Linked DNA regions of Mus musculus: all the other regions are reported to be linked to region 1. The links are microRNA targets in miRTarBase. Many come from high-throughput screens and were not tested one by one. Region 1 holds a microRNA gene; each other region holds the end of a gene's coding sequence. Distances are between the middles of the regions.

Evidence for each region. The annotated mature microRNA mmu-miR-466f-3p reads CAUACACACACACAUACACAC and lies in region 1 at 1,725-1,745, opposite strand. An mRNA with a match to its seed (bases 2 to 7 or 8) in the 3' UTR can be bound and repressed. Matches are read on the target gene's strand: a 7mer-m8 pairs with bases 2 to 8, a 7mer-A1 pairs with bases 2 to 7 and ends in A, and an 8mer does both.
Region 2: miRTarBase lists Trmt61a as a target of mmu-miR-466f-3p. The part of its 3' UTR that is shown has no 7-base or 8-base seed match.
Region 3: miRTarBase lists Cd200r1 as a target of mmu-miR-466f-3p. Seed matches in the 3' UTR shown: 8mer at 736-743.
Region 4: the mRNA of Srfbp1 is a reported target of mmu-miR-466f-3p. The part of its 3' UTR that is shown has no 7-base or 8-base seed match.
Region 5: miRTarBase lists Bcas1 as a target of mmu-miR-466f-3p. Seed matches in the 3' UTR shown: 8mer at 4,406-4,413.
Region 6: miRTarBase lists Csnk1e as a target of mmu-miR-466f-3p. Seed matches in the 3' UTR shown: 7mer-m8 at 2,079-2,085 and 7mer-m8 at 2,598-2,604.

What each region holds. Positions count from the first base shown.
Region 1 is chr2:10,468,661-10,473,751 of GRCm38, reverse strand. It overlaps Mir466f-3 (microRNA 466f-3), which reads right to left and starts at 1,799; the gene lies at 1,706-1,799. All of the region lies in intron 10 of Sfmbt2 (Scm-like with four mbt domains 2), which reads right to left. Mir466f-2 (microRNA 466f-2) reads right to left here and starts at 5,077; the gene lies at 4,984-5,077. Mir669l (microRNA 669l) reads right to left here and starts at 4,781; the gene lies at 4,684-4,781. It also overlaps Mir669d-2, Mir297a-2 and Mir466o.
Region 2 is chr12:111,681,869-111,686,959 of GRCm38, forward strand. It overlaps Trmt61a (tRNA methyltransferase 61A), which reads left to right. Exons shown (of 4, transcript NM_001099793.1): 4 at 727-2,034. The coding sequence ends at 1,001. Among named protein-coding and RNA genes, the nearest start is that of Trmt61a, 6.3 kb to the left of the region's middle.
Region 3 is chr16:44,794,002-44,799,001 of GRCm38, forward strand. Cd200r1 (CD200 receptor 1) reads left to right here. Exons shown (of 7, transcript NM_021325.3): 7 at 199-976. The coding sequence ends at 339. Among named protein-coding and RNA genes, the nearest start is that of Cd200r4, 24 kb to the right of the region's middle.
Region 4 is chr18:52,489,624-52,494,714 of GRCm38, reverse strand. It overlaps Srfbp1 (serum response factor binding protein 1), which reads right to left. Exons shown (of 8, transcript NM_026040.4): 7 at 4,660-4,697; 8 at 2,782-4,271. The coding sequence ends at 4,087. Among named protein-coding and RNA genes, the nearest start is that of Srfbp1, 26 kb to the right of the region's middle.
Region 5 is chr2:170,343,600-170,348,690 of GRCm38, forward strand. Bcas1 (breast carcinoma amplified sequence 1) reads right to left here. Exons shown (of 13, transcript NM_029815.2): 13 at 3,392-4,549. The coding sequence ends at 4,475. Among named protein-coding and RNA genes, the nearest start is that of Gm39999, 8.6 kb to the left of the region's middle.
Region 6 is chr15:79,415,588-79,420,678 of GRCm38, reverse strand. Csnk1e (casein kinase 1, epsilon) reads left to right here. Exons shown (of 11, transcript NM_013767.6): 9 at 1-95; 10 at 711-774; 11 at 1,492-2,827. The coding sequence ends at 743. Among named protein-coding and RNA genes, the nearest start is that of Gm16059, 8.3 kb to the left of the region's middle.

The sequences.
Region 1 (5,091 bases):
GGATGACTACCATGTGTGTTTGTGTGCACATGTATGTGTCCATATGTGTGTGTATATGTGTATGTATGTATGTATATATATATATATATATACACATATATATATATATATATATATGCATGTTCATATACCCACATTTACATGCACACGTACCTATACACATATACACATACACGGGGACAATCACAGAAATTCCAGGCTGTTCTCTAACTCATCATGAAGTTAAACATGAATTTGAACTCCATATTCTCCTCCCTCTGGCAACAATATTCACCTCCTAACTGAGACATAGTTCTGGCCATTCCTGTGAGTATGTGTGCATACAGCTATGTGCATATTCATGTAGAGAAGTGAATATGCACACAGCTATACACACATGCACATTCTTGGAGGGCATCACATGAATCGCATGCTGATCTCTACTCATCATGAATTAAATATGATTTTGAACTCCTCATCCTCCTGACTCTGGCAAGAGTACTCACCTCCTAACTGAGCCATAGCTCTGGCCCAGTACTGCATAAGCTCTAAAGCTCTAAGTCACATACCATTCAAAAGGATATATGAGTGGCATTCCTGTGCGTGCATGCGTGTATATGCATATTCATATAGAGAAGTGAATATGCACACAACTATACACACATGCACATTCTTGATGGACATCACATGAGTCGCATGCTGAACTCTAACTCATCATGAAGTTAAACATGAATTTGTACTCCAGGACCACCTGACTCTGGCAAGGGATTTCACCTGCTGAGTGAGACCTCTCCCTATTCAGTACTGCAGAATCTTAAAACTCTTAGTCACACGTCATTCAAATGGATCGATGAGTTGCATTCATGTTTGTGTGTCTGTGTACATGTCTATGCGTGTGTAGATATGTATATTCATATACACAATCCACACACAGGTACACGCATGTACACATACATGGGGGCATCACATGAATCCCAGGCAGATTTCTAAGTCATCATGAAATAAAGCATGAATTTGACCTCCTGACCTCCTGATTCTAACAAGCATTTTTAATATGATGGGTGATAACTCTCCCTGACCTAGTCACACATAATCTCCAAAGCTCTCAGTCACATAGATTGATGAGTGAGTGCCATTCCTGTGTGTCTATGTGCTCATATGTGTCTTATGTGTGCATGTATGTATATCATATTCACACATGTACATGTACACACACATCAACACATACACACATACATAGGGGCAATCACATGAATGCCAGGATGACCTCTAACTCATCATGCCTTTACCATGACCTTGAACTCCTGATTATCTTGACTCTGGCAAGGGTCTTTACTTGGTGAGTGAATCCTCTCCCTGGCCCAGTCATACAGAATCTCTAAGACTCTAAGACACATATCATTCAAATAGATCGATGAGTGGCAGTTTTGGGTTTGTGTGCATGCTTGTATGGGTATGTGCGTATGTATATGTATACTCATATACACACATGCACATGCACACATACATATACACACAGGCACATACACTGGGGGCATCACATGAATCAGAAGCTGATCCCGGACTCAACATGAAGTTGAGAATGAATTTCGACTCCTGATCCTCCTGACTCTGGCAAGATTTCCACCTTGTGAGTGAGAGCACTCACTGGCCCAGTACTACATAATCTCTAAAACTCTAAGTCACATATCATTCAAATGAATAAATGAGTGTCGTGTGTGTGTGTGTGTGTGTGTGTTGCGTGCGTGTGTATGTGTGTGTGTATGTATACATATATTCATATACACACATGCACATGCACACACACGTAAACACACATGCACATACATGAGGGGCATAACATGAATGTCTGGATGATCACTAACTGAAATTGAGCATGAATATGAACTCCTGATCCTCCTGACTCTGTCAACAACTTTCACCTGGTGAGTGAGACCGTTCATTGACACACTACTGCATAATCTATAAGACTCTAAGTCACATATCATTCAAATGGATCAATGAGTGCCATTCCTGTGTTTATGTTTATGTTTTTGTGTTTCCGTGCATGCGTGTGTATATGGGTGTGTATGTATATGTATATTCATATAGACACATATACATGCACACACAAGTATACACACATGCACATATATAGGGGGCATCACATGAATCCAGGATGATCTCTTACTCCTCATGAAGTTAAGCATGATTTTCAACTCCTATACCTCCTGACTCTAACAAGGGTTTTCACCAGGTGTGTGAGAATTGACACTGGCCCTGTCATACATAATCTCCAAAGGTCTAAGTCACATATCATTAAAATGCATCGATGAGTACCATTCCTACATGTATGTTTGCATGTGTGTGTATATGTGTGTATGTATATGTATATTCACATAAACACATGTACATGCATACACTTCTGCACACATGCACATAAACGGGGGACATCACATGAATCCCAGACTGATTGCTACCTCATCATGAATTTAATATGAATTTGAACTCCTCATCCTCCTGACTCTGGCAAGAGTACTTAACCTCCTAACTGAGACATAGCTCTTGATCAGTACTGCATAAGCTCTAAAGTTCTAAGTCACATACCATTCAAAAGGATATATGAGTGCCATTCCTGTGTGTGCTTGCGTGTATGTGCATATTCATATAGAGAAGTGAATATGCACACAGCTATACACACATGCACATTCTTGTTGGGCATCACATGAATCGCATGATGAACTCTAACTCATCATGAAGTTAAACATGAATTTGAACTCCAGATCCTCCAGACTCTGGCAAGCGTTTCACCTCCTAACTGAGACATAGCTCTGGATCACTACCGCATAAGCGCTAAAGCTCTATGGCACATATCATTTCAAAGGATATATGAGTGGCATTACTGTGTGTGCATGTGTGTATATGCATATTCATATAGAGAAGTGAATATGCACACAACTCTAACACATGCACATTCTTGGTGTGCATCACATCAATTGCATACTGATCTCTAAATCGTTGTGAAATTAAGCATGAATTTGAACTCCTGATCCTCCTGACTCTGGCAAGTGTTTCACCTAGTGAGTGAGACTTCTCCTTGACCCATTTATACATAGCTCTAAAACATTAAGTTACATATCATTCAAATGGATAGATGAGTATCAATTTTGAGTTTGTGTGTGTGTGTGTGTATTTGTGTGTGTCTCTGTGTGTGTGCATGTTGTGTTGGTTAGTTTATATGTGTATATTTATATGCATATATTAACATGCACACATACATATATGCACACATGCACATACATAAGAAACATCCCAGTCTGATTTCTATCTCTTCATGAAGTAAATTTTGTATTTGAACTCTCTCTTCACCTGACTCTGGCAAGTGTTTTTACCTTATGAGTGAGACTATTACTGACCCAGTACTACATAATATTTAAAGCTCTAAATTATATATCATACAAATGGATCAATGAGTGCCATTCATGTGTGTGTGTGTCCATGCATGCATGTATGTTTGTGTGTATGTATATGTATATTCATATACACATATACACATGAACACACTTATGTATACACATATGCACATTCAAGGGGAGACATCACATGAATCCAGGCTGATCCCAAATTCTTCATGAAGTTAAACATGAATTTGAACTCCAGATACTGATGACTCTGGCAAGGGTTTTTACCTGGTGAATCAAAACTTTCAGTGGCCAAGTACTACATAATCTCTAAAGCTCTAAGTCACAAATAATTCCAATGGATCGATGAGTGCCATTCATATGTGGGTGTCACATGTATGTGTATGTATGAGTTTATGTATATGTATATTAATATACACACATACATCACGGGATCATCACAAAAATCTCAGGCTCCTCTCTAACTCATCGTGAAGTTAAGGATAAAATTGAACTCTTTTATTATTAGGTATTTTCTTCATTTACATTTCCAGTGTTATCCCAAAAGTCCCCCATACCCTTCCCCCCCCAACTCCCCTACCCACCCACTCCCACTTCTTGGACCTGGCGTTCCCCTGTACTGAGGCATATAAAGTTTGCACGACCAATGGGCCTCTCTTTCCACTGATGGCCGACTAGGCCATCTTCTGATACATATGCAGCTAGAGATACAAGCTCCGGGGCGTACTGGTTAGTTCATATTGTTGTTCCACCTATAGGGTTGCAGATCCCCTCAGCTCCTTGGGTACTTTCTCTAGCTCCTCCAATGTGGGCTCTGTGATCCATCCAATAGCTGACTGTGAGCATCCACTTCTGCGTTTGCCAGGCCCTGGGCCTACTGACTCTGGTAAACATTATCACCTGCTGACTGAGACCCCTCTCAGGCCAAGTACTGCATAACCTCCAAAACTTGAGGTGACATATCATTCAAATGAATCACTGAGTGCCATTCATGTCTGTGTGTCTTTGTGTGCCTGTATATGATTGTATGTATGGATATGTATATTCATATACAAACAGGCAAATGCACACAAAACTATACACCCATGCACATACACGGGGTACATCCCAGGAATACCAGGCTGATCTCTAACTCATTATGAAGTTAAGCATGAATTTGAACTCCAGATCTTTCTGACTATACCAATCGTTTATATCTGGTGAGTAAAAAGTTTCATTGGCCCAGTACTACATAATTTCTAAAGCTCTAAATCACATATCAATAAAATAAATCGATGAATACCATTCCTGCGTGTGTGTTGATGTGTTCATATGAATGCGTGTATATATGGGTGTGTATGTATATGTATATTCATATACACACATATACATGCACACACAACTATACGCACATGCACAAACATGGGGGGCAAAACATGATTCACAGTTTGATCTCTAAATCCTCATGAATGTAAGCATGAATTTGAACTCCTGATTCTCCTGATTCTGGCAAGCATTTTCAACTAGAAAGTGAGAGCACTCACTGGCCCAGTACTACATAATCTCTATAGTTCTACGTCACATATCATTCAAATGGATAAATGAGTGCCATTCGTGTGTGTGTGTGTGTGTGTGTTACATGAGTGTGTATGTGTGTGTGTATGTATACATATATTCATATACACACATGCACATGCACACACACGTAAACACACATTCACATACATGGGTG
Region 2 (5,091 bases), not on the chromosome of region 1:
CCTTCAGTGTGAGGTGTTTTTCTGTTTTGTTTTGTTTTGTTTTTTTTTGTAGGCTTGGTGTTTTGTAACACGCTCTATCTCTAGTGGCCTCTGGCAAGGAGTATATGGTGTGATTTGCTGTTTAGTGACAGCGGACTCTATCCTGTCTCATCCCTGTGTCAGGGAGCGCTCTGGGTCCCAGGCCTAGGGACTTGTGTACACACTGCATCTCTGCCGTGGCTTGCTCATGGGCACTTTCATAGTTTGGGGGCAGGCTGAGTAAAGCCTGTAAGCTGCCCCCGTGGGAGGCAGCAGGGAGGAGCTCCAAATGTGCTTGCTGTAGGCTCCTCCTGTTCCCAAGAGCCAACGACAGCCTCTAATTTTCTGTGACAGCAGCAACCCACACACCGCCCCATGTTGCCCTATTGTTAGAGCTATTCTTGGGACTGGCTCTGACAGCCCTGACCCCCCCACCCCCCAGCCCTCCACTGCCTCCTACAAGGCAGGATGATGATGCCTACTGGCAGGGAGACCTGGGCATCTCAGTCTTGGGCCTCGCTACTGACCCGGACTTCTGCCCAAGGGTGGCCCAGCAGGTAGGGCAAAAATGTATAGCTTCCCGAGGCCCTTGCATTGCGACTTGGTCTGAGGGCTTACAGTCTGCAGTCAGTCTTGAGCCAGCCTCAGGTCCAGGGTGGGTTGTGGATGCCACTACACTACCCTCTGACCCCTGTCTTGCTCCTGCAGGTGGGCGTTTCTGCTCCTTCTCTCCGTGCATTGAGCAGGTGCAGCGGACATGCCAGGCGCTGGCAGCCCATGGCTTCACAGAGCTTAGCACCCTGGAGGTACTGCCACAGGTCTACAATGTGCGCACTGTCAGTCTGCCCTTGCCCGACCTGGGGGCCAACAACTTAGAGACCAACATGGGCTCTGATGCCAGCCCCTTCCGTAGTGGCACACCCATGAAGGAGACTGTGGGCCACACTGGCTACCTGACTTTTGCCACTAAAACCCCAGGCTAGCAGGCCTCCAAATGAACAGCACAGGCAAGCAGGCAGGGAGGCCAGAGGCTGCCTTATATGGTCAGCCACTGCCCTCGTGGCTTGTGTTTAGAAAGAGATGGGGGCGGGGTGGGGCAGGGGCCTCCTGGGTGGCTGAGGGGGGTGAGTAGGCTGGCCCTGCTCAGCTGGGAGGCATTCCTGTCTTCTGAGAGGGAAGTCTCCACTTCATCACTGCTCAGCGCAAGCTCTGTCCTGGCTCTTTGTTGTCAACATGAGTCTTTCCTCTCCATAGTCCTTCCTGGGTTTTGAGACTAAATGGTAAAAGTTGAGGGCGTCGGAAGCTTTGGGCACTGCCTATAGCCTGGGCTGACCTACGGGAGCGTGGGTTGTCCCATCCCTGGCGCAAGTCTCCAGGCCCTGGTGCTCCAGAGCTTAGCCAGAAGCTGTGGTTGAGCTAAATTAACCAGAAAGCCCAGCCCTGCCCTCCTCTCCCTATACTTCCCTAAGGCTGATGGAGGGACCAGGCTGGCCCAGGAACAAAGGAGGTGATGATAATCAATAATCATGTGCTGCACAGGCCACGTGTGTGTCAGCACGACCGTGTGTGTGTGTGTGTGTGTGTGTGTGTGTGTGTGTGTGTGTGTGTGTGTGTGTGTGTGTGTGTGTGTGTGGAGTTCCTGGTGTGCTGGTGTGCTGTCATCTGGGGTTAGGCATCATCCTGAGGGATAGAACACAGCAGGATTGGTCCCTGCTTCCGTGACCTTCCAGTCCTTGTTGGAGCTGGGGTCAAAGCGGATCATAGAGGAGCCTGTGCATGGGCTAAGAGCCTGGCTGTGGACTTGCCACATGTGTCACCTTGGCCTGGTGTCCATTCTCGGTATGTGGCTAGCTTCAAGGGAGTTTCAGTGCTCGGTGCTCAGATCATCTTGGTGTGAGGCTGCCAGTCAGCTGCTGCTGCTGCGTGGAAGCAGCCATCGCGAGACTCACCAGTGTCCTACTGTCATATGTCATACCCGAGGGCACCCAAAGGATAATAAATATTTTCCCCACTGTGCTTATTGTCTTGTTCCCACAAGGGCTGTCCTTCAGCAGTGGCCCAGGCCCGCTGCTCCACACGTGCCTTCCTGACTTCTGTCCTTTTCTCTCTGCCCTCAGTAGGTACTATGGCGTTTCTGACCTCTAGAACAACACCACAGGACTCTTCACAAAGGCATGTCCTGGGCTCCTTCCCACATTCCTATGAGAACCTAACTTGAGTTCCTGGGGTTGGCTTCCCAGGCTGTCTGTTCTCAGTGTAATGGCAACTGGAGGTCCTAGAGGTCGTGTGCCCTCAGAGCTGTTCCGGCTCCCTAGGACCACCAACCCTGTTCCAGGGCTTACCCTCCCTCCAGGACTTGCTCTCAGCTCTAACATGCCTAGCCTAAAGGACTGAGGTGAGGCCCCACGCATGTGCAACATAGAGTGGGTGCCTTCAGTACCAGGACCTGCAAAGGGTTGTAAGTGGATGATCTGGGCACCCTGCTACCTGGCCTGGCCTGAGCAATCCTGGCTCTCTGTCCTTGGGGAAGGGCTTCTGGCCAACAGGTAAAGGTCAAGGGACAGCATTACTGTGGGACAGAGCTTGCTCAGTTGTGGGACACACGGGCCGTATAGCCAGGAAGGCCCAGGTTATGTCTTCCATATGGGTCTCACTGGCTAGATGTCCTGCAGAAGGGACCCTGGCCAAGTCTGGAAAAAAAACAATCTACTTACTGTCCCTTGGGATAACCAAATTCTAGCTTTCATAGTCTCAGCCTTGGAGAGTCTATCCAACCCTAGTTTACCTCTAAGTCCAACCACAGCTGGAGGGCCACCTGGCCCTGGACTTACCTGCAAGCCTTTGTGTCTCTACAGCTCTGCTCAAATCATCCTCCTTATTCTTTTTTTTTTTTTTTTAATATTCATCTATTCCATGTGAGTACTCAATAGCTGTCTTCAGACACACCAGAAGAGGGCTTCAGATCTTATTACAGATGGTTGTGAGCCACCATATGGTTGCTGGGAATTGAACTCAGGACCTCTGGCAGAGCAGCCAGTGCTCTTAACCGCTGAGCCACCTCTCCAGCCCCATCCTCTTTATTCGTTCACTCCTTCATTAGTTAGTTTTTGAGGTGGGGTATTCTCTGTGTAGTCCTGACTGACCAGGAACTTGATCTATAAAACTGGCTAGCCTTAAAAAAAAAAAAAAGCTAGCCGAGCAGTGATGGCCCACGCCTTTAATCCCAGCACTAGGGAGGCAGAAGCAGGTGGATTTCTGAGTTCGAGGCCAGCCTGGTCTACAGAGTGAGTTCCAGGACAGCCAGGGCTACACAGAGAAACCCTGTTTCGAAAAACCAAAACTCTGGCTAGCCTTGAACTCAGATCTGCTGTCTGCCTGGCTAAACCATCTCCTCTTGACTGCTTTCCCAGACTGCTGCCCACTCTCAGACAGGAGCCTTCAGCTCAGCCATCCTCTGTACCCTGCACTGATCTGCTGAGGGTTAGTTACCTCAGCAGGAGCCCCCAGGGCAAAGGAGAGGCTAGGTCCCCAGGTCCTTCAGACTGAGCCTGGCTCCTAAAGTAGCCCTGAAGCCATGGTTGTTGAGTTCAGTTAACTGATCCTGGGTGCACCTGACTCAGAGGCTCGGGACTCATCATGGGGCAAGATCCTGGAAACTCCCCTTCCAGCCTGACTCCTGTCACTGGCCCTCAGTTTTCCCTTAGATATTTTCCTGGGTCACAACCTGCATTGTGACCAGGACAGCAGCACACCTCTCAGCCTCCTTGGCAAGAGTCTGCTCTGCAGCGCCAAGCCCCGGGAAGCCCTGAATGCACCTCTAGGTGCAGACCCTGGTTCACCTGCTGGAAGGCTCCTGGGCCAGGGTGATCAGCTTCCTCAGACAGACTTCCTCCGAGCCGCCTGTGAGCTGTGCCCAGGCCTCAAAATATGCTGCCCTGTGTTTGAGGGTTTTCCAGCAAGGGCATTGGGATCTAGTATTGTGTCTCTGGGTGAAGAATGGGTAGTACAAGGGTGGCTAGGGACACCTCTGCCTCTTACATTGTCTAGGTCTCTTGGAACTTGACCTTGAAGCTGTGTCCTCTTCTCCCCTCCTGACCATTGCACAGTTGCCTCTTTCTGCCTCAGCCTAGCCTTCATCCTGGGACAGGCAGGCTGCCAGGGACTCCAGCAACAGGGAGAAAGAAGTGCTTCCGGCCCACTGCTGGAAATGCCACCCAGGTGGAGAAAGAAGACTCACTTAGCTTTTACACCGGAAGCCACAGGGGTGGGCTGGTGAACGTCCTGTGGACTTACGGCCAGCCTAGGATGCTCTTGCTAGGTCAGTTGAATAAGACTCCTTAGGGAGGGTAGGGGCCTCCTTCAGACCTGAGCGCATGAGGCCATAGGAATGTCTGGGAAATGTTAGTGCCCAGTGCTCCCAGCTCTCACCTCCATTGGTGAGGAGCCTTACTTCCACTGCTAGCCTGGTTTGAACCAGACACACAGTGTGAGAGACATGAACAGCAGAGAAAAGCAGGGGATTAAACTCTTATATAGGTCCCAAGGAAGGGACCTCAGGTTTATAGACTTGACCTTCTGGGTAGCAGAGCTTGGGTGGTAACTCGCCCGTAGGAGTGTAGGGGTGGGATGAGCCCAGTCTCTGGATATGCCACTCAGGTTGGTGGTGAGTCACCTCCCTGTGGGGATGAGACAGTGACAGCCTCGTGGCCTACTGAGAGTGTGTCATGTCAGTGGTTGGGACAGTCAGCTTACAGAATGCCACTGTGACTACTGCCACCTTCTCCCAGAAGCCGTCCTTTGGGGTGGGAGGGAGTGGCTGACAAGATGGCTCAGTAGGTAAAGGCAGGCTCTTGCCACCAAACTTGACCAGACTTGAGTCTCTGGAACCCACATGGTGGACAGAGAGAACTCCATCTGACTTACACACGTGCACCATGGGACATGAGCACATCCCTGCCCCTCCATGTGTGTGTGCGCGTGCGTGTGTGCATACATGAGTGAAAGCCAGAGAGTGCCTGAGTCATCTCCCAGGACTGGGATTCTACACACATGTCACCGTTCCTGCCAGCTTTG
Region 3 (5,000 bases), not on the chromosome of region 1:
CCCAACAACCATTTCACACAAAATATAAATAACCATCAAATGTTTGTGATAGATTATTAGAACAAAGCCTTGATCTTCTGAGGCAGATAAACAGTTTTAAACATTATTAGTAGATGCTAAATGTGGTAGAAACTTGGGTAATTTTGGTAATGATGTCTAGCTCTTTTGAATGGATTTTAACTTTGAGCTTTCTTCAAGGATGAAATGCAGCCTTATGCTAGCTATACAGAGAAGAGCAATCCACTCTATGATACTGTGACTAAGGTGGAGGCATTTCCAGTATCACAAGGCGAAGTCAATGGCACAGACTGCCTTACTTTGTCGGCCATTGGAATCTAGAACCAAGAAAAAAGAAGTCAAGAGACATCATAATTACTGCTTTGCTTTCTTTAAAATTCGACAATGGAAGGACTACTTGGAAATTAGCTCTTCCAAAGCTATTAAAAAGCACAAATGTTCTAATGAAATTGCATTTAAATTCTATCATTGGAAGTTTGGAATCTCTGCTGCTACCTGTTAATTTTAGGAAGAACTGATTTAATTATTACAAAGAAAGCACATGGTTATGGTGAAATATCAAGTTGTGCAATAAAGTATGATGAAAACTGAGTTTCCTCAAGAAATAACTGCAGGAGGAACAATCATCACTAAAGAATTTCATGTGAGTTCTTACAAAAAAATTCCTATGTATACATGACTATGGTATGTGTGTCCAATTACATGTTTATTTACAAATGTGTATATATGCACACATTTGCTTTTCAGGACATCTCCTTGTAAAAAACACACTGGAGTTTTGGATTTATAAAAGCTTATAAAGTGAGCATTGGAGATATTTTTATATCAGCATAAGTAAATCTACCTCATTCTTTTTAATGGCTACATAGAATTCTCCTGTATGATTACATTGTAATTTAATTAATCATGGCCCTTGGATTTTGTGTTGTGTGTGGTATTAAACAAAACCATGTAGAATATTTGTTGTGGTGAATCTCTGCATTATTTGAGTGCACCTGTGAGATAATTTCTTTGAGTGTAATGGTCCTGTCAGTTGGAATGCATTTTTATTATTATTTTTTTCCCATTTTTATTAGGTATTTAGCTCATTTACATTTCCAATGCTATACCAAAAGTCCCCCATACCCACCCATCCCCACTCCCCTACCCACCCACTCCCCCTTTTTGGCCCTGGCGTTCCCCTGTACTGGGGCATATAAAGTTTGCGTGTCCAATGGGCCTCTCTTTCCAGTGATGGCCAACTAGGCCATCTTTTGATACATATGCAGCTAGAGTCAAGAGCTCCGGGTACTCGTTAGTTCATAATGTTGTTCCACCTATAGGGTTGCAGATCCCTTTAGCTCCTTGGGTACTTTCTCTAGCTCCTCCATTGGGAGCCCTGTGATCCATCCATTAGCTGACTGTGAGCATCCACTTCTGCGTTTGCTAGGCCCCGGCATAGTCTCACAAGAGACAGCTACATCTGGGTCCTTTCGATAAAATCTTGCTAGTGTATGCAATGGTGTCAGCGTTTGGATGCTGATTATGGGGTGGATCCCTGGATATGGCAGTCTCTACATGGTCCATCCTTTCATCTCAGCTCCAAACTTTGTCTTTGTAACTCCTTCCAAGGTTGTTTTGTTCCCACTTCTAAGGAGGGGCATAGTGTCCACACTTCAGTCTTAATTTTTCTTGAGTTTCATGTGTTTAGGAAATTGTATCTTATATCTTGGGTATCCTAGGTTTTGGGCTAATATCCACTTATCAGTGAGTACATATTGTGTGAGTTCCTTTGTGAATATGTTACCTCACTCAGGATGATGCCCTCCAGGTCCATCCATTTGGCTAGGAATTTCATAAATTCATTCTTTTTAATAGCTGAGTAGTACTCCATTGTGTAGATTTACCACATTTTCTGTATCCATTCCTCTGTTGAGGGGCATCTGGGTTCTTTTCAGCTTCTGGCTATTATAAATAAGGCTGCTATGCACATAGTGGAGCATGTGTCCTTCTTACCAGTTGGGGCATCTTCTGGATATATGCCCAGGAGAGGTATTGCTGGATCCTCTGGTAGTACTATGTCCAATTTTCTGAGGAACCGCCAGACTGATTTCCAGAGTGGTTGTACAAGCCTGCAATCCCACCAACAATGGAGGAGTGTTCCTCTTTCTCCACATCCTCGCCAGCATCTGCTGTCACCTGAATTTTTGATCTTAGCCATTCTGACTGGTGTGAGGTGGAATCTCAGGGTTGTTTTGATTTGCATTTCCCTGATGATTAAGGATGTTGAACATTTTTTCAGGTGCTTCTCTGCCATTCAGTATTCCTCAGGTGAGAATTCTTTGTTCAGTTCTGAGCCCCATTTATTAATGGGGTTATTTGATTTTCTGAAGTCCACCTTCTTGAGTTCTTTATATATGTTGGATATTAGTCCCCTATCTGATTTAGGATAGGTAAAGATCCTTTCCCAATCTGTTGGTGGTCTTTTTGTCTTATTGACGGTGTCTTTTGCCTTGCAGAAACTTTGGAGTTTCATTAGGTCCCATTTGTCAATTCTCGATCTTACAGCACAAGCCATTGCTGTTCCCCTGTGCCCATATCTTCGCATTTTTATTATTAATAGATCAGTCAAGCTGTCAGTTTACATTTTCTCCAATTGTGTTTGAATGTGCCTTTCTTCATATTCTTATTATTATTCTTATTCTTATTCTTATATTTTTATATTCTTACTTTCACATTTATACTTTCCATGTTTAATTAACCAGATGGGTGATATGTCTTACATTTATGATATTGACTCAATTATTTAATGGAACTGGACTCATATCTTTGTCAACATGAGAGAGACAGGAAGCATTTGTAATGACAGTATTTTCAACTCTTTGTATTGCTACAAAAGTGCTGCCATATCATGCACAACAGTTTTATGGACATTATGAATTGTGCATTTTTTTTAATTTTTAATTTTTTTTTGGTTTTTTGAGACAGGGTTTTTCTGTGTATCCCTGGCTGTCCTGGAACTCACTCTGTAGACCAGGCTGGCCTTGAACTCAGAAATTCACCTGCCTCTGCCTCCCAAGTGCTGGGATTAAAGGCGTGCGCCACCATGCCCGGCTTGAATTGTGCATTTTAAAAATTCTATTCTGATGTAATTATCAAAGAACAACTGTCTTTGAACTATATGTGTAGGTGGGAGAACTTGGAGAACTTTACATGCTAAAAGGATGGTAATGGGTTGAAAGTAACTTTTCCCTCCATTGTTCTTTGGATGGAAATATTGGGAGTACATATATTGGTAACTTTTAGCATATATATTTTCATTGTTAAAAATAAGCCTGTTCTCTTTATATCAGAAAAACTATTAAAATAGATTTATTCATCTTATTTTGTTTGCTTTGTTATTTTGAGATGAGGAGTTGATTTCTAAGGTAGTTCTACAATCACTCTAGAGCCCAGTCTGGCCTCCCAATGGCTATGGTTACAAATGTATGGAAGGATACTTGCACAAGTATTTTCATTATGATGTAATGATAGAATTAAACCAAGACCCATTCACTCTTCACATGTCCCAACTGAGACATTTAAGGCAATTATTTTGTCTACTAAAATATTTTTCTTTCCATTTGGGAAAATTACCTCTTTTTCTTCTTCCTATTCCTTCCACCCTACCCCACTACTTTGAAAGTTATGCATTATAACATATATGTATTCATGGCTAGGTTTTTGTGGTGGATTAAATAGGTTTGGTCCCCATATAAATTCATGTGTTTTACTGTTTGTCCATAGGGAATAGAACTATTAGAAAGTGTGGCCTTGTAGGTGTAGATGTGGCTTTGTTGGAGGAAGTGGGTGTAGGCTTTGAGGGTTCCTATGCTCAGATTCCATCCAGTTTGTGAATGCTAGTCCCCTCCTGGCTGCCTTCAGAGGGGCGTCTCCTCTTGGCTGCCTTTGGGTCAAGATGTAGGTCTCTCAGCTTCTCCAGCACCACATCTGCCTAGACTCAGCCACGCTTCCCTTCATGTTGATAATAGACTGACTGTCTGAAATTATAAGCCAGCTCCCACTACATGTCTACCTTTATAAGAGTTACTTTGGCCATGTTGTTCTTTCACATCTATGAAACCATATGTGGTGTTTTGAATATGCTTGGCCCATGGGAAGTGGCTCTATTAGAAGATGTGACCTTGTTGGAGGAAGTGCTGTGGGGTTGATTTTGAGGCCAGCACTGGTACCTGGGGACTCTAGATTGGCTTTTCTGCCCTGGGCACTTTCCTGTATCAGACAAACGGGGAAACTAACCTGGCCATATTGGCTCTACTTAAGATACCACAACCAGAGAAACTCAGTAGCATCTACTAACAATTGTTTACAATTTGAAGGCTAATCCATTTTACCCAGAGTTAACTACTGCACACAGGCAAGCATGGTGCTAGAAGTATTTTCCAATCAAGTGGGGACTAAGCAAGCATGAGCCTTTAGGGTTAATGCACATGCAAACCCACTACTGGCACACCTGTAATCTCAGCTTCTGGCAGATTGAAAGATTCACACCCTTGGTAGGCTAAAAGCCAGTTTGAGCTTATATCCTGTTAAAACCAAACCAAACCTGCAGCAGGAATTCCGTATCCCGTCCCGCAAGATAATGATTATGGTTAAGTAGGCTCAGGTCTACTACAGTAATTGATAGGGATCTGTGAGTGGTACCCACAGGAGATCTAGTCTCTTTTTAAGAGTCATCTTTCAGATGCAACCATATATCTTTACAAAGTGTCCCATCAGCACCCTTGTCTCCCAGACTCTTCAACAGCAGCCAGCTCTCCATTCCCTTTGTGTATTGGATGAAGTGTGTATTTCTTGGCTTTCCCTGACTCCTGTTATCTCATGTGCCTTTCTCATCCAGCCCCACAAAATTGCTCTCCTAGTCTTAGTTTAAATTTGATTTTTGTGTAAGCTTGTACCAAACAGCTCTCCAGTCATCTCAAAATATGGCTATCTCAAAGATT
Region 4 (5,091 bases), not on the chromosome of region 1:
ACATGCATACAGTGACTGATCCAAGAGGTTTTATTTAATATGTTCTCAAGTTTTACCCATGCTATAGTTTTTACCCATGCTATATATATATACCTCATTTCTAGTATAGATCACATTTTGTTTGGGTATTTTGAGTGTGTAGCTATTATTTGCACAATGAACATCCATGCTTAAGTTTTAATGAGAACACATTTTCCCAGTCTTTGGGAAATACAGTTAGCTGACTGTAAACTGGTTATATAAAAAAATCCCATTTATTCTAAATTGGTACATTAAGTGGTACTCCATAGGTCTTCAAGTGTGCTAGGTTTTTAATTTTTTAAATGTATATATAATATATGAATGTGTGCAAGTGACTGTGTGCATTTAGAGATCAGAGGAGGGCGTCAAATCCCTTGGAGCTAATTATTGGTCTTTTGCAGGATACCCAGACTTCATGGGTGCTGGAATTTGAACTCTGGTCTTCGGAATCCCACAGCAAGTGGTCGTAACCTCTGCGCAAAGCTGCTCGTTCTTTTATTTCCCACTCTTCGAACAGCATCATCTTAGTTGACATTAAGATCCCTTTTCAACTTTTTAACTTGGTAATTGCACTTCCTAACTTCAGACTTTGGTTCTTTATAATTTTGTTTCTTGACGTAGGTTAACCTCATTTTCAATTCTACTACATCTGTCTTGACACTACAATACAGTCATGTGCATCATACCACTTCTAATTCCTCTTCCTCCCCTTTTGGTCAGGCAGTATACTTTCTTGTCTCTTTTAAACAGTGCCCTGCAGATTGGAAAATATTTAATTTAGCTTACTCGGAGTCTTTGTTGAAATAAGTTCAACATTTGTTCTTCCTCAGTTTCTATTTATTGCTGGTCCCTTGTACACTGGGTCACATTTTGTATATATTTGTTGAAAATTAGACACATTAAATAATGAAGTGTTTATAAAATCAGTACCCTATGCCTGTCTACAGCTAGTGATAGTTTCTGAATTACTTTTGTGAAGTTCAGTTCTTTCCATGTGTAATGCCGTTTGCAGTCTACATAGCTTCACACTGCCCTAATTTGACAAATTCCCTTAAACAGACATGCTCTCATCACTTACACCCCTGGTGAATGATGAGGCTCCTTCAACTAGGTCCTGAGCAGTGATAGTCAGTCTGTACTCGTGCATTATCTGACTTCTAGAAAAGGTCAGAAATTTCCAAAGCCCCAGTGAGCAGACAGCATCTTCTTCAGCTTTCCCTCTAAGCTTTGTGATTAGTGTACTTCCTACCTTAGCAGCTCTCTGCTGCTTATGGCGGCCATGATGTCAAACTGCCCGTGTTTCTCAAAAGGCAGCTTAAGGGAAAATGCTATCAAGCTAAGCAAGCTTGGACTGACACCAAATAAAGGCAGCCTTGCCAAGTGGGCGGCTTCCACTGAACTAACCACACATTTCAGACAATCAATGTTCCCTACAGATGTTGCAAACGTATTTCCAACAGTTGCTAGGCTGGTCTTCATTGTGGTAATAGCCTGATAGCTTTCAAGGCTACCATAGATCTAGAGTAGGGGATGGGGAAATTAAAGCCGACAACCCTCACTGTTTCATCAGTAATCTGTAGTTTCTGACACACACACACACACACACACACACACACACACACACACACACACACACACACACACACACTCTCTCTCTCTCTCTCTCTCTCTCTCTCTCTCTCTCTCTCTCCTTGGATTACTGCAAGCCTGATTAACTCCTGAGTTCAGAGAAAGTTGGTTCCAGGAGCTTAGACACTTTCTTCTTTCAGTTTTGAGACTCCATGTCTGAAGATTAAAGAAAAAGAAGCAACCAAGCTCTAACTAGCTGACTGGTTCAGAGGCGTCAGCTAACCCTGAGAGCACTCTTAGGCAGATAATACAGAATACAGGTATGTCTTCCTACTAAAGTTTGAGGTAAGATAGAACGTCAATAGAACGTGTGATGCTAAATATCAGGGAGGAAGGATTTAGAAAGACTTGCAGAGCCCCTTTAAGGATTTGCTGCAAAGTCAATCCTTAAATATATCAAGACAGAGACAAAAATCACCAGGTAGCAGGTGGGACAGTGTAGGCACTCACAGGCCCAGGCAGTTTGTGATCCTATATAACAGGAAGACTTGCTAGGACAATACTATAGTAAGAGAATCAAAAGGCACAAACCCAGGACTTTTCAACCTTTGAGTTGTATTTTAGTCTGATAAAACATAATCTTTATTGCTAGAGAGTTAGTATGTCTAGACTATATCCGATTGCTGTGGTGCCTTTCATGAATCTGAACCTCTCCAGACATTAAGGGCAAAGTTACCAGAAACTCAAATGCCCTACCAGCTGTTCTATCTGGAGGCACAGCAGCAAGTTCATTGCCATTGTAAAGTCTCCGTGTAATAAACTATAGCAGTAGATGTAAAAGTCTGCCTCCAACTTTTAGGTGGACTCCTGGCCCAAGGAACTCTCTTAGGCAAACTTACAAAACTGTAGAGAGCATTCCAACTTGCTTAGGTGTACACACACACACACACACACACACACACACACTCTCTTCTTTACTTTTTTTTGGGGGGGTTGGGGGGTTTACAGGGAATTGCTTGGAATGAAGATTCAAGAAAACTCCACATCTCCGCCATAAACTGAACCCACTGTTCTAGTTACTGACATTCCTAAGTTTGTAAAACAGAACGTACACTTGCTAACTAGGCGCTTGAAGGCAGAGTGGAAGGCGTTACCTTGTTCTAAGAGAATATATATGCAGGCCACATAGAATTCAGTTAGCACTGTTTAATTAACTAACCATCTTTCTTGTCTTCCACAGCAATAAAAGGCAAACAGGCAAGGATCTTTTACAAACCTCTCTCTTTTCCTTTAAGGTCACTGTACTGTATGAAACAGGCGAGGATCTTTTACAAACCTCTTTCTTTTCCTTTGAACACAAGTCACTGCACTGTATGAAACAGGCAAGCATCTTTTACAAACCTCTTTTCCTTTACTGTATGGAGTACATGGTTCTTTAGGAGTCCAAGAACTCCTATTTAGCCACTTCAATCCCTCCTCTTCTACATTTCAACACAAGTTAAAATGCCTGCATCTTGGTACTGTGAGAGTAAAAACCCAGCCCTGTTTGAGCCACACAGCAAGGTCCTCAGTGGTAGAGCATGTATAAGACCTAGAATGCATGAGGCCCTAGGTTCAATTCCCAGTGTTGTACTCCAATATTTGCCTAAGTGACTAGACACCATGCATAACTTTTCTGTACCATGAACACTATATCCTGGACTTGGTCCATGGACAGAAAAACTAGGGCTCTATTGATCCATTCTTCAATGAATGGAAATACTCATTGCAGGGGTACTTAGAACTTAACTTTTAGGTGTTGCTACACATAAGCAAGTTGCTCAAACACTGCAAAGATAAGTCACAAGTAACTGCAACTATCACAAATTAATATTTATTTATATACTATTTCTATATCCACAATGAAAATTGCCATTTCTGTTTTGCTTATAAAAATATTTTTTAGTCCTAATTTCTTTCTTTTCTCACTATTATTTTAAATATGTCCTAACATTTTTTATATGACATTTATTATATGTGAACATATTTGTATGTACATAGGCATGTGCCACAGTGTATGTGCAATCAGAGAACGACTTTGTGAATTAGTTCTGCCCTCATACCAAGGGAATCACAGGGGTCAAACTCAGGCCATCGGGCCCCAGGAAGTGAGCCATCTCCTAAGCCCTGTTTGCCTTATTTTGAAGGCAAAAGGGAAAGCTTAACTAGCGAAATATATTTTGTAATCATGAATGAGAAAACCTAAAATTCCGTAATATCTAAATTACTTTATGTAAGAAATAATTTGGGGCAAGCATTCTTATGAAATAAATTTAGAGATCTGTGAAAAGATTATGTAAATATTCCCTAAATTCACATAAAAAAAGAAAAACAAGCAATATATTTTATAACTCTTTGAAAGAGACTTATTTAAAATGCAAGTTTAAATAACATGTTAGTTAAAAACAAAACCAAAAATTTTGACAGAACGCTTGCAAAGAGGCAGCAAGTATCAAATCAATCATCAAATGTAATTTTTTTCCCCTGAAACACAGCGATTTTGGACTGCTGCTCCTTCCGCCTCCTGCTCGCTTCCCAGGACGGATGCAGAGGTGCCTGCATCGTCTGCTTCACACTCTCAAAGCCTCTGTATGCACTCTTTGTAAACTGCTTCTTGACTGGGGGTTCATTTTCTGGAAAATCTGGGAAGAGAAAGCAAAAACGACAAGTAACTATACCAGAGCAGAAAGAAAGCTTTCATTTCTTTACACTACGCATTCAAGGAAATCGTATTTTACTTAGACACAGTATCTCACCAATTAAAGCTGCATCCCAATAGAAGACAGCTTCGAATTAAGAACTTACACAAGTAGTTAATTTGCTAATTATTGTATGCAGGCTCTTGCCAATATGGGGAGACAAAACAAGCTACAGAAAACCAATAAAAACTGATACTGGTAGTGATACAACACCCCATTTCTACTTGTGTGGGTACACACATCAGGAATAATACTATTAGGAAATGACAATTTTTGTCCTCTCACTGCGACAAAGCAATGTCTGCTTGCAGGCTGAGCAGTCTGTACACACCTGGGGCTTTATTCTTTGGGGCCTGTTCTCTGGGATCCCTAAAAGAAAACAGAACAACATTAGGACCTAAGAGACAAAACAAATCCTCTGATGATGGAGTGGGAGATAAAACTCACCCACATGATGCATCATCCACTTGCTCGCTCTAATATCCAATTATTAATCCAGGACTCAGCTAATCAGATATTTAAATCCATTGAGCCCACCTCCCTTTCCTTCCACCCACACAGAGACCTCTGGTCAGTGAGAAGTAATCCACTTTGGCTAGCTTGCCCTTGCTCTAGCAGACTGTCTATATAAAGAACTCAAACGTTTTCAAGGGGACAATGATTACATATAATATGAAAATTAAAGTCTTTGTTTTTGGTGTAGAGCCAAGAAAAACCTAGAAACTTTTCGGGCATGACCGGGTCAGATAGGTAAATATTTTAA
Region 5 (5,091 bases), 160 Mb from region 1:
AGATAAACGCATCAAGAAGGCTGTGTGTGCGATCCTGTCAGGCAGCGTGACCTGTATCCTGGTTTCTGTTAAATCATGTGGTTGGCTTCCGCCTGGCAAGTGAGAGGCCCCAGGGTGCAGAGGAGCGGGAGGTAGCTTTATGGGTGGCTACACAGAAGCCAAAAAAAAAAACAAAAAAACAGTCTAACCTCTGGAGAATCGACCCCTGGCCCAGTGTCTCTGCCTCCACTACAGACTGAAGAATCAATGTCTGGACGTTGCTTGCTGTCCTTTCCCCCCTTGTTGCTAACAGGCAGTCTTTCAGGGGCCCACGCTGCTCCACAATCCACAGAGTAAACACAGTCCTGACCAGGGACAAACCCGACTCTGCACACTGTGCCAAACTGCTTACTTAAGGGCTCTAAAGAGAACGCCGAGAGTGGTTGAAGCTGAGCCCCGTCAGCAACCCAGCCCTAATCTTGGGGTTTGCACCGTGGGAAAGTGGGTAACTGCTGCCCTTTCCCTCTCCTTCCTCACAAGCAGGACAGGGAAGGATTTTCTCTTCCATTTGTGTTCATTACCACGCTGCTGCCCCTCCACCCTTGTACCGCTGGAAATGGAACACAAGGCCCCGTTTGTGCTGGGCCAGTACTGTAGCTCTGAGCTACACCCTAAGCTCCAGTTTATTGCTCCAGGACCTGGCTGGGGCTCTGGGACAGAAGAGACCACACCTGCAAGTCCTGGATGTGGACACCTAGCCTTCTTCTGGGACTTTGGGGGGAGCCAGAGGGGTACGTTCTGGACTTTTAAAATCTAATGAGACCCCCACTGCTCTGGGTGTGTGTGTGTGTCTGGACTATATCTGGATTGTTTGACTGTTTGCATGGTGCTTGGGGGGTAGGGATTGAGAGAGAGAGAGAGAGAGAGAGAGAGAGAAGAGGGGGAGGGAGGGAGAAACAGAAACAGAGAGAAACAGAGAGAGAGAGAGAGAGAGAGAGAGAGAGACCTGTGTTTAATGAGCTACAAACAAAACAGTCTCTCTCTGGCTTTCTTTTTCCCCTCCTATTTTTTGGCAGCTCTTTAGGTTTGTGGCTCCTTCCCCCCCCCCCGCCCCCCTCCCCAGGATGAATCCAAGAGTGGCCTCGGGCTGCTGGGAACAACTGCTCCTTTGAGTGAACTCTTTTATGGATATTAGGCAAACAATTTCTGTCAGCAGGAACTGGGAGGCATCACTGAGAACATGCATGCACGTGTGTGTGTGTGTGTGTGTGTGTGTGTGTGTGTGTGTGCACTTGCATGTGTGTGTGTGTAACTTGCACGCACAATGCCGGGCATCTCATCTCACTAGCTCCATCCTTGGGAAAGGCACGTCTTCTTGGCAAGAGAGAGGAGACACTTCCCTGAGCACCTACAAACAAATCAGCGAATCATTAACCGACTCATGGTGACAACGGGCACCTTTGTCCCTCTCCTCCCGCACGCACGTCTTTACTTGGTTTTTCTTTGGGGCTAGGATTCTGGGTTGTTTCGGTGCCTGTCAGGTTTGCTTCTCACTCCTCACTCCACCTGCCAGAGCTTGGTTGGGCTCTGTGGGCCGAGCTCTCAGTTTCTTGCCCCCTCTTTGTCCTGTGAACTTTCTGTGCGATTTAGGGAGTGCCTTGCTGGGGCAGTTAGTGAACTCTGCATCAGAGAAAGGATTGCAACGGAAAACGCAACCTTCACAGGAAGCACAAAACTTGCTTCTTAAACTACAGCTGGGTTTACGGTCCCAGCAATAAATCACTGAGTTTGTGGCTTAAATTTCCTGGCCTTCATAAAAACAAAAGCAAACCACAATTTCATTAAGAGTGCCCTCTTCTTCAGCCTAGGAGAAGGGAGGGACCAGGAATAAACACCCGGGAGGGGCTTTGCTGAGCTTCTCTCAGACAACCCCTCTCCCATCCCAATTTAGAAACTGGAGGTTGCTATTGCCTGGTGGCCAGAGTCAGTCACTCCCCACTGCTTCTGCGCCTCCCAATCCTGCCTGTTAATGTCTCTCATCTCAGCCTGAGGCGCCGGTGCCCTGTAAGGTGAAACTGGCCAACTTCCTCTACAGGCTGAGCTAGCCCAGAGGCTGGCAAAAGGTCACAGCAGGCGTCACCCCCAGGGATCTGCAGACAAAGGAACTGACAGCTGGCTGGTCTCATTGGTGTCAACTCAGAAGGACTGGGTAGTGTGGCCACTTCTCCCCCTCTTCCAGTTTTCCCAAGGTGCTTTTAGCACCCTACCCCAATCTTTCCAGCAAAACCTTCTAGCATGGTACGGGACTCTGAACCCGGCAAGGAACAGACAGTGATTTCCAAATCAGGTCCTGAGGATCCAGGAAACAAGTTTAGCTTAAAGGAAACCACTGCTGATCTGTATTTGAAACCCAGAATCCAGTCAGTGTGCTGGCAGGCCCCAGGCCCCAGGCCACACTGCCTTACTTCCTCCATATCTGGGGGCCTCACAGACATGGCTGCTCTCTGGATACATTTACCAGTTTTCCAGTCTGTTCTGTCCTAGGTGTGGTTCCTGTGCTCTCATTCACGCTAGGACAAGATAGATGGCAATGTTTATTTCTGACCCCTGTGAGACAGTCTCATGTTCTGCGTGCGTGTGTGTGTGTGTGTGTGTGTGTGTGTGTGTGCATGAGCGTGCATGTGTGTGTAAAACCTGCCAGTGTGTGTGTGTGTGTGTGTGTGTGCAAATTTGCTAGTCTGGCAAGAATGAATATATTCTAAAGGGACACCCGCGATCCTCTTTGACTATAGACTATGGAAACAACCAATCTCAGAAAGTTAAAATTTCCCCAGGAGACCCCAGGAGGAGAAGGAAAAGGCTGAAGCCCTGGGGTGGGGGTGGGGGATGGAGAGGGAGGGAGGAGAGGGCTGGAGGAGGAGTTTACTGGAGAGAGCATCACTGCTCCTAGGAGAGACTTGGAGCTGAGGTAGAGGTGAGCAGGGAACCGCCCCTGGGCTGAACTGCTTGGCTATGCAGTCCTGTTTTCGACTTGAAGGACCTTGAAGGCAGCCTGTGGGAGGCAGGAGAGACTCTTGAATCTTTCTCCCTCTTCCCAGTGTGGCCACATGGAAGAATCTGTTTTTTAATATTAATTTGGCTCTTTTAATTGGCTTATGAAAGACTGGAGGTCAAACCTGGTTTGCTAGGGCAGAGGCTGTGAACTGATCATATGTGCACACCAATGTATTCCTGCCTATATGAGTTTGCAGTATGAATGTTCACGAACACAGAGTCGTGTGTGAGAGTATATCTGGACACGTGTGTGGGCATTCATAGTGTACACTGTCTTCCAGCTGCTTACAAAGACGCAGCCCTTGTAGAGAGCGTTGTCAGCGAGCTGCACTTGAAGTTTAGAATCAAAAGCTTTTCTAAAATGTAATATTTTTTTATTAAATTGGGAAAAGAAAGGTACAATACAGATGACTATCAGTCAATCATATGGTACTTGGCAATTCCATCTTAATGGATTCACAGTCCAATTCAGTTCTCTGTACAAGAATTAAAAAAAAAAAACCACCTCAAGTATTCGCATAATCTGTCAATTTTTATTAACTGGGTTAGGGGAGGGTTTTTATCAGAGCACATTATGAAAACATTAGGACATTACAGACAGGCGTGAGATAAGCGTCAGACCGAACAGATGAAGCAAGTCCCTCAGCCATCTGAGAAACATTAATAATGAAATAGTGCAGAAACAAATCTTTGTTAGGGGTACCGGATGCAAAGGGAAAAAGCAGAGATCCTGGCGCCCCCTTGTGTTGCAAAATGAACCTGCACCTTTATTTCATTTTGCTGTTTCCCTTTTGAAGTTGGGAATTCATGCCCTTGTCCCTGTGCCCCAGAAGTAATTGTTTCCCCAAATCCTAGCAAGCCCTCTCCAGCAAATCACTTCCCCATTCACTGATAACTTCCAAGGACCCTATTTGAAAACCAATTCTTGCCCATTCTTCTTTACAGCCCACACATCCTGTTCCAAAAGTTGGCAGACGCCCAGCGTAGATGCCTGCCCTGAGTCCTCCTTCCCCCAAGTGTGAAATGAAATAAACCAGTCTTCCCTTCCCCTCTTCAGGCTTAGAGGATGTGGCAAGAGTGGCTACAAATCCAGATATTCTTTGTCTCATAAGCACTTTTCTTCTGCATCTTACTGGATACCTGCCATTTTTTCATAACTTAACACAAATGCCTTTATCTACCTACTTCCTCCCCCACCTGGCACTCACCAGCTCCCTTGGATCAACTGGTCAACCTGCTAAGCCATTTTTACACTTAAATGCCAGGAAAGACTGGACCAGAGACGTAAATAATACACCTCGATCTACAACAATTCAGGTTGAAGTTGTAGGCAGAATTTCATTGGCTGACCAGAAGAAGAAGAAGAAAAATATATACACAGTGTGGGTCTGGACAGTAGATGGAGTGGGAGGAGAACCCAGTGGGAACTGGGTGATTTTGTTTACTTGGATTTTCCAACTGGTCCGATGGAGACCGGGTCCGTTTGCACCTGAGCATCCGACATCCGCTTTGGTCCCTGGAGAAAAACATAAAGCAGCCAGCGTGAGGCCAACAGCAGCGAGGGGGACTTATCACGTGCTTATTCTACGTAAATATGACAGTGCTCATGGGCGGATGTCTAGCTTTAATACCTAGCGACGTTGCTTCCTGGGTTTGTGAAATCCTAGACACATTATGATTTGATTTTAAAATGGGAGTGCTCAAACCCAACTCTGAGAGGTGCTCCCAGATAAAGTGTGCTCAAAGTGTGACACATATTAGAGCAGTCCTGGGGTCGGGGGTCAGGGGTCAGAGGCCAGGGTGGGACTTGCTATTCTAGTTCATTCTACATCCCTAGCCACTGTCAATAGCTCATTCTTTCAGGTTCTAACAAAATGGTGCCCTGATTTGTTCCCCAGCACTATCTGAAGTGACCTTACTCTGTTTGACCTGACATCCTCCTCCTCTGTGGGTTCAGTCTGCTGCCTCCTCGGGACCATTCGAGTGCCCCGGCATGTGGAGGTTGCACCTCACTACTGTCCCAGTGTGGCAGGTGGATGCGTGCAGTCTTGCACCACT
Region 6 (5,091 bases), not on the chromosome of region 1:
AGGTGAGCATGAGACTCCACAGAGGTGCCCCTGCCAATGTCTCCTCCTCAGACCTCACTGGGCGGCAAGAGGTCTCCCGGCTTGCAGCCTCACAGGTGAGTCAACTCTTCCAGGCCTCTCGGGGGCACAGTGGACCTAGATATTCTTGGTGTGTTGGTCTGACCCTGTGGCACCTTTCCTCCCCTGCCTCTGATCACCCTGAAGCTAATTAGCCCTCTTGTGTTGAGCAAAGCGAAGGGAGAAACTGAGGCTCAAAGAAATAACAGCCCAGTAAGCGCTAGCACTCACTGCGGTCTGGGTGGGCGACTCTCGGCAGTTCCCATCAGCACTGACAACAGCAAGGGATGAAGCGGGAGGAGGGAGAGGTCTTGTCAGGTCATCCCACTTAATGGCCATATTCGGACTCAGAATGTAGAGGAAGGGGCTTGGCAAAGGTAGATCTACCCGATCCTGCCTGTGGGAGACGAACTTCCTTGGACTCAGACCTGGAATTGAGCCAGCCTTGGCCTCCAAGCGGGGGTGTTTCGGCTCTAGAGCCAGGGGCAGCCTCAGACCTGAGATCACACAGCTGCCCTCAGACTGAGCAGCCTGCTGTGAGGGATGGAGCTCCATTGGGGGGGGGGGTGTATGAGACTTGGGGAATCATTGTGGCCACCTGCTTAAGGACCTGCCTTGAGACTCCCCCATATTTCTCTGTCCCCCTCTTGAAGACAAGCGTGCCATTTGACCATCTTGGGAAATGAGGAGAGCGACCACAGACCAGTGTTTGCTTAGGTGAGTACTGGTGTCTACTGAGGGCCCTGGAGGGCAGGGGAACGTGACGCAGAAGCAGGAACCTCCCCTTCTAATCTCTTCAAGGAAGCTTTAGATTTTAAAATCTGCCATCCAAGCTATCACTTCTCACAAGCAGTCCTGAATCGGTACACAGGGACACTTCGGGGAAACCCTTTTTCTGTCCTTGGGTCTTCTGTCCCCTTGATTCCTAGGAAAGACCAGGCTCCTGGCCACATGTGGGTTTCCAGGGCTTTAGCCTACCTCCTCCTTTTGGCTGTTATATAAGATGATATGTGCAGAGCCAAAAAGGAACCAGAGTGTAGAAGGGCCTTCATGTGTTTATACACAGGAAAGACCCTCTGGCCAAAGCTAGTTCGGGGTGGACTGCCTGCGGCTGTCTGTGGCTTGGGGGGCAGTACCTAGAAGCCTGGTTTGGGAAAGGGGCCACAGGCTCTTCTGGTAGTATTGGCTGGGGACCCAAGCTCCCTGCAGAACATGGATATTAGCAGGCAGTGTCCCACCCATTGAGACGTGCAGCTTCACACCGTGGTTTCTTAAGCAGACTTCACACTGCAGAAATTCTCCCAACAAATGGCTAATCAGTTCAGATAGACATGGGGCTGGGATGGCCGCTCAGCCCACCAGAGCAGAGGAGCGCATTGGCTGGGTAAACCGAGGCAGCCAGGCACCTGACCGTTGTCTTTTCTTCCCTCCTAGTGTCTTCACTGCATTTTCTTTAAAAAAAAAAAAATTAAATACAAATAAGAGAAAGGACAGAAAGAAAGAACAGTTCACATGAACAAAAAAGAGAAAAACAAACAAACCACAAAACCCACAACCCAGCACAAAGTCGACAATGGATTTTGTTTCTTTGATTTATTTTGCCAATGGCAAAAAGACAAGACCTCGTTAGCACTGAGGATTCTTGTTCCCTTGCCTTGCCCACTGCTCCCGACCTGAAGGCTGCCAACACTCCTCTAAGGACACTGGGTCACATGCCAGCCACCTGTTCTCGCCACCGGCCACCACGTGCCGGGCCGCCATCGGAGGTGCCTGAAGAGCTTGTGTCAGGGAGCGGTTTGGCCAGTCAGAGACAAGTCCCAAGAGATTTCATGGAGCCTTGGATGACACACACGCCATCAGCCCTTGGGTGATGACAGTGACCAGTGTTGTATGGGGCTTTCCCAGAATCCCCTTCCCTGAGCATCCTGGTCTCCCCCACACACACCTGTCACCTCTCTACAGAGACCCTGAGGGTGCGGTGAGATGGAGGCCATGATGCCTTGTGTGACTGTGAGTGTGTGTGTGTATGCATGAGAGAGAGAGAGAGAGAGAGAGAGAGAGAGAGAGAGAGACTGAGAGAGAGAGAGAGACTGAGAGACTGACTGAGAGACTGACTGAGAGACTGCTGACTTGTATTTTTCAGAGCTGCAGGTGGCCTGCCACGCCTGCCTGGCCAAGTTTCTGTTCCCCTCCTCCTAAAGTCAAGGTGGGGTGGACAATGACTTCCACATCCCTCAGGGCATAGAGTCCTTGCCACCACCTGTCCCCAGATGCCAGTGTGTGGCACCCCTCCCCCCCCAACTTCCATTCCTGATCTTAGGCAAGTTCTTGGAGTCTGCTCCCAGATGGCATCGGCTCTGAGATACCGGTTACTTCCCTGGTCCTGAGAGTCACCTGTGGTCACCCCTCTTCCCAGGCCTGACTTCTGAGTAGGACCCTGGGTCAGGGCTAAGTGTTGAATTTACCCTTCCTGGTTAACACCTGTTTTGTTGGTTTTTTTATTATTATTATTATTATTATTTTTGTTTGTTTTCTCAGTGTGTGTATTTCCTAATTTATTTACCTCTTTTTTTCCCCTTTCTTTCTTTTTTTTAATTAAAGAGCAAAACTTTTTATTACTTTGTAATTTAAAAAACTGAAAAAAAAATTACTGAAGAACTTTGGGGGGAATTTTGTACTTTTTTCCTGTGTAAATATTGGACTTTTTTGAGCTTTATTGTGGTTGTTAATTTGAAGTAATAAAGTAGAAAAGGACAAAGTGATATAGATACCCTCTGTCTGCCTCTTTGCTCTTGGGGTTTCTCATCGCTGACTTACCAGGGACTGTACATCACAAAGAAGCCATCAGCCTCAGGCAGCTGTGGCTGGGGCCATTAGGACCTGTCCTGTGGTATATCAAGCCTTCAGAGCTCAAGGTACACAGTGTAGCCTCTGGCCTCCGGGTGAGGAGAGCGCTCTTTAGGTGGTGCGGGGCCTAGGTCTACACAGTGAAAGATGAGGCTTCCCCCAAGACATCATGTTATTTATAGAAGAGTTCTGAGGGTTTGGGACACTTGCTTCCCTGCCAGAAACTGGCCTTGGGTTACAGCCTGGGTCAAGCCATCAGACACCTCTCCTCTGGTTGACCATGCAGTTCTGTGAGGTGATCTCTGCTCACCCTGGTGAGCAGGACCCTGGTCCCTTGGCCAGATCCTGATGTGGTAGTCTCCACTCTCACCCACTTTGTCTCACTGCTTGTAAACCATGCTTCCAAGTCTCAACACCGGCCACTGCGATAGCTTTCATCCCGGGGAGAGCAAAACTTGTGACAGATGGTGTTTTAATTAGGATTTTACTGCTGTGAACAGACACCATGACCACCGCAAGTCTTATAAATGATAACATTTGATTGGGGCTGGCTGACAGATTCAGAGGTTCAGTCCATTATCATCAAAGCAGGAACATGGCAGCATCCAGGCAGGCAGGAGCTGAGAGTTCTGTATCGTCATCTGAAGGCTGCTAGCAGAACTCTGACTTCCAGGCAGGTAGAATGAGGGTCTTAAAGCCCACACCCTGACACCTACTCCAACAGGGACACACCTTCTAATAGTGCCACTCCCTGGGATAAGCATATATAAACCATCACAGGTAGCAACTCCTGGAGCTTCCCTCAGGTCTTTCAGAGTCCTGGGCTTAGCTCAAAGGCCTTCCCAGTGTCAATATTTAAAGATTCTATGACCTCCACAACCTGGCCTGGAAGTTGCTGTCCTGCCAGCCCCTGTCACACAAGTGTCAGGGATCGGGGTTGTAACACAGACTTTAGAGCGTGTCACCCGAAGCCAGGTAATTATGGTTAGATTGAGTGGCAGGGGAGAGCTGGTAGACAGGGTTTGCCCTTCAAAATGCGTTTTATTCATTGCCTTTGCTGGCTGAAGTGCTGGAAAGATGCGGCCCCACCCGTCCCTGCCCAGGAAGTAAGAAGCTACAACGAAGCTCTGAAAAGATAACACAGTTGACCTGTTTCCCTTGTACTTTGTCTTACAGCGGGAACTGTGGAATGCATTTTGTTTTAAGGAGAGGTGGTGCTTTGAGACAAGGTCTCACGTAGCCCAGGCTGGTCCCTAATTCAATAGCAAGCTGAGAGTGGCCTCGAACTCCTCACCTCCTCCCTATTTCTCAAGTGATCACAGGCATATGCCACCATGCCTGGCTCAAAAATCATAGTTCTTAATGACAGTAATGTGTAGTTTTGCTATTTCCTGAGCACAGTTAAGATTCAAAATGGAAAGCCGGGCGTGGTGGCGCATGCCTTTAATCCCAGCACTTGGGAGGCAGAGGCAGGGGGATTTCTGAGTTCAAGGCCAGCCTAGCCTGGTCTACAAAGTGAGTTCCAGGACAACCAGGGCTATACAGAGAAGCCCTGTCTTGACCCTGATGCCCTCTTCTGATGTGTCTAAAGCTTCAATATACTTACATGTAATAATAAATCTTTTTAAGAAAAAGATTTAAGCCAGGCGTGGTGGCGCACGCCTTTAATCCCAGCACTCGGGAGGCAGAGGCAGGCAGATTTCTGAGTTCGAGGCCAGCCTGGTCTACAAAGTGAGTGCCAGGACAGCCAGGGCTACACAGAGAAACCCTGTCTCGAAAAACCCAAAAAAAAAAAAAAAAAAAAAAAAAAAACCAAAAAGAAAAAGATTTAAAACAGGACAGGGTAGTGGGGGGAGGAAGTTCAGAGAGTAAAGGTACCTGTCACCAGACTGTCACCTGAGTTCAATTCCCAAGCATACCCAAGCGGATGTAGAAGGAGAGAACCCAGTCTTGAACTCTTAAAAGTTGTCTGTGCCATGTCATGCTCTCGCTCTCTCTCTGACACAAACGTCACAAACATTAGAAATTTAAAGATCTCAAAACACCAAACTTTTAATATTACTGTTACCAAGTCGGACTGTGGTGGCACACGCCTTTAATCCCAGCACCGGGGAGGCAGAGGCAGGCAGATTTCTGAGTTTGAGGCCAGCCTGGTCTACAGAGTGAGTTCCAGGACAGCCAGGGCTA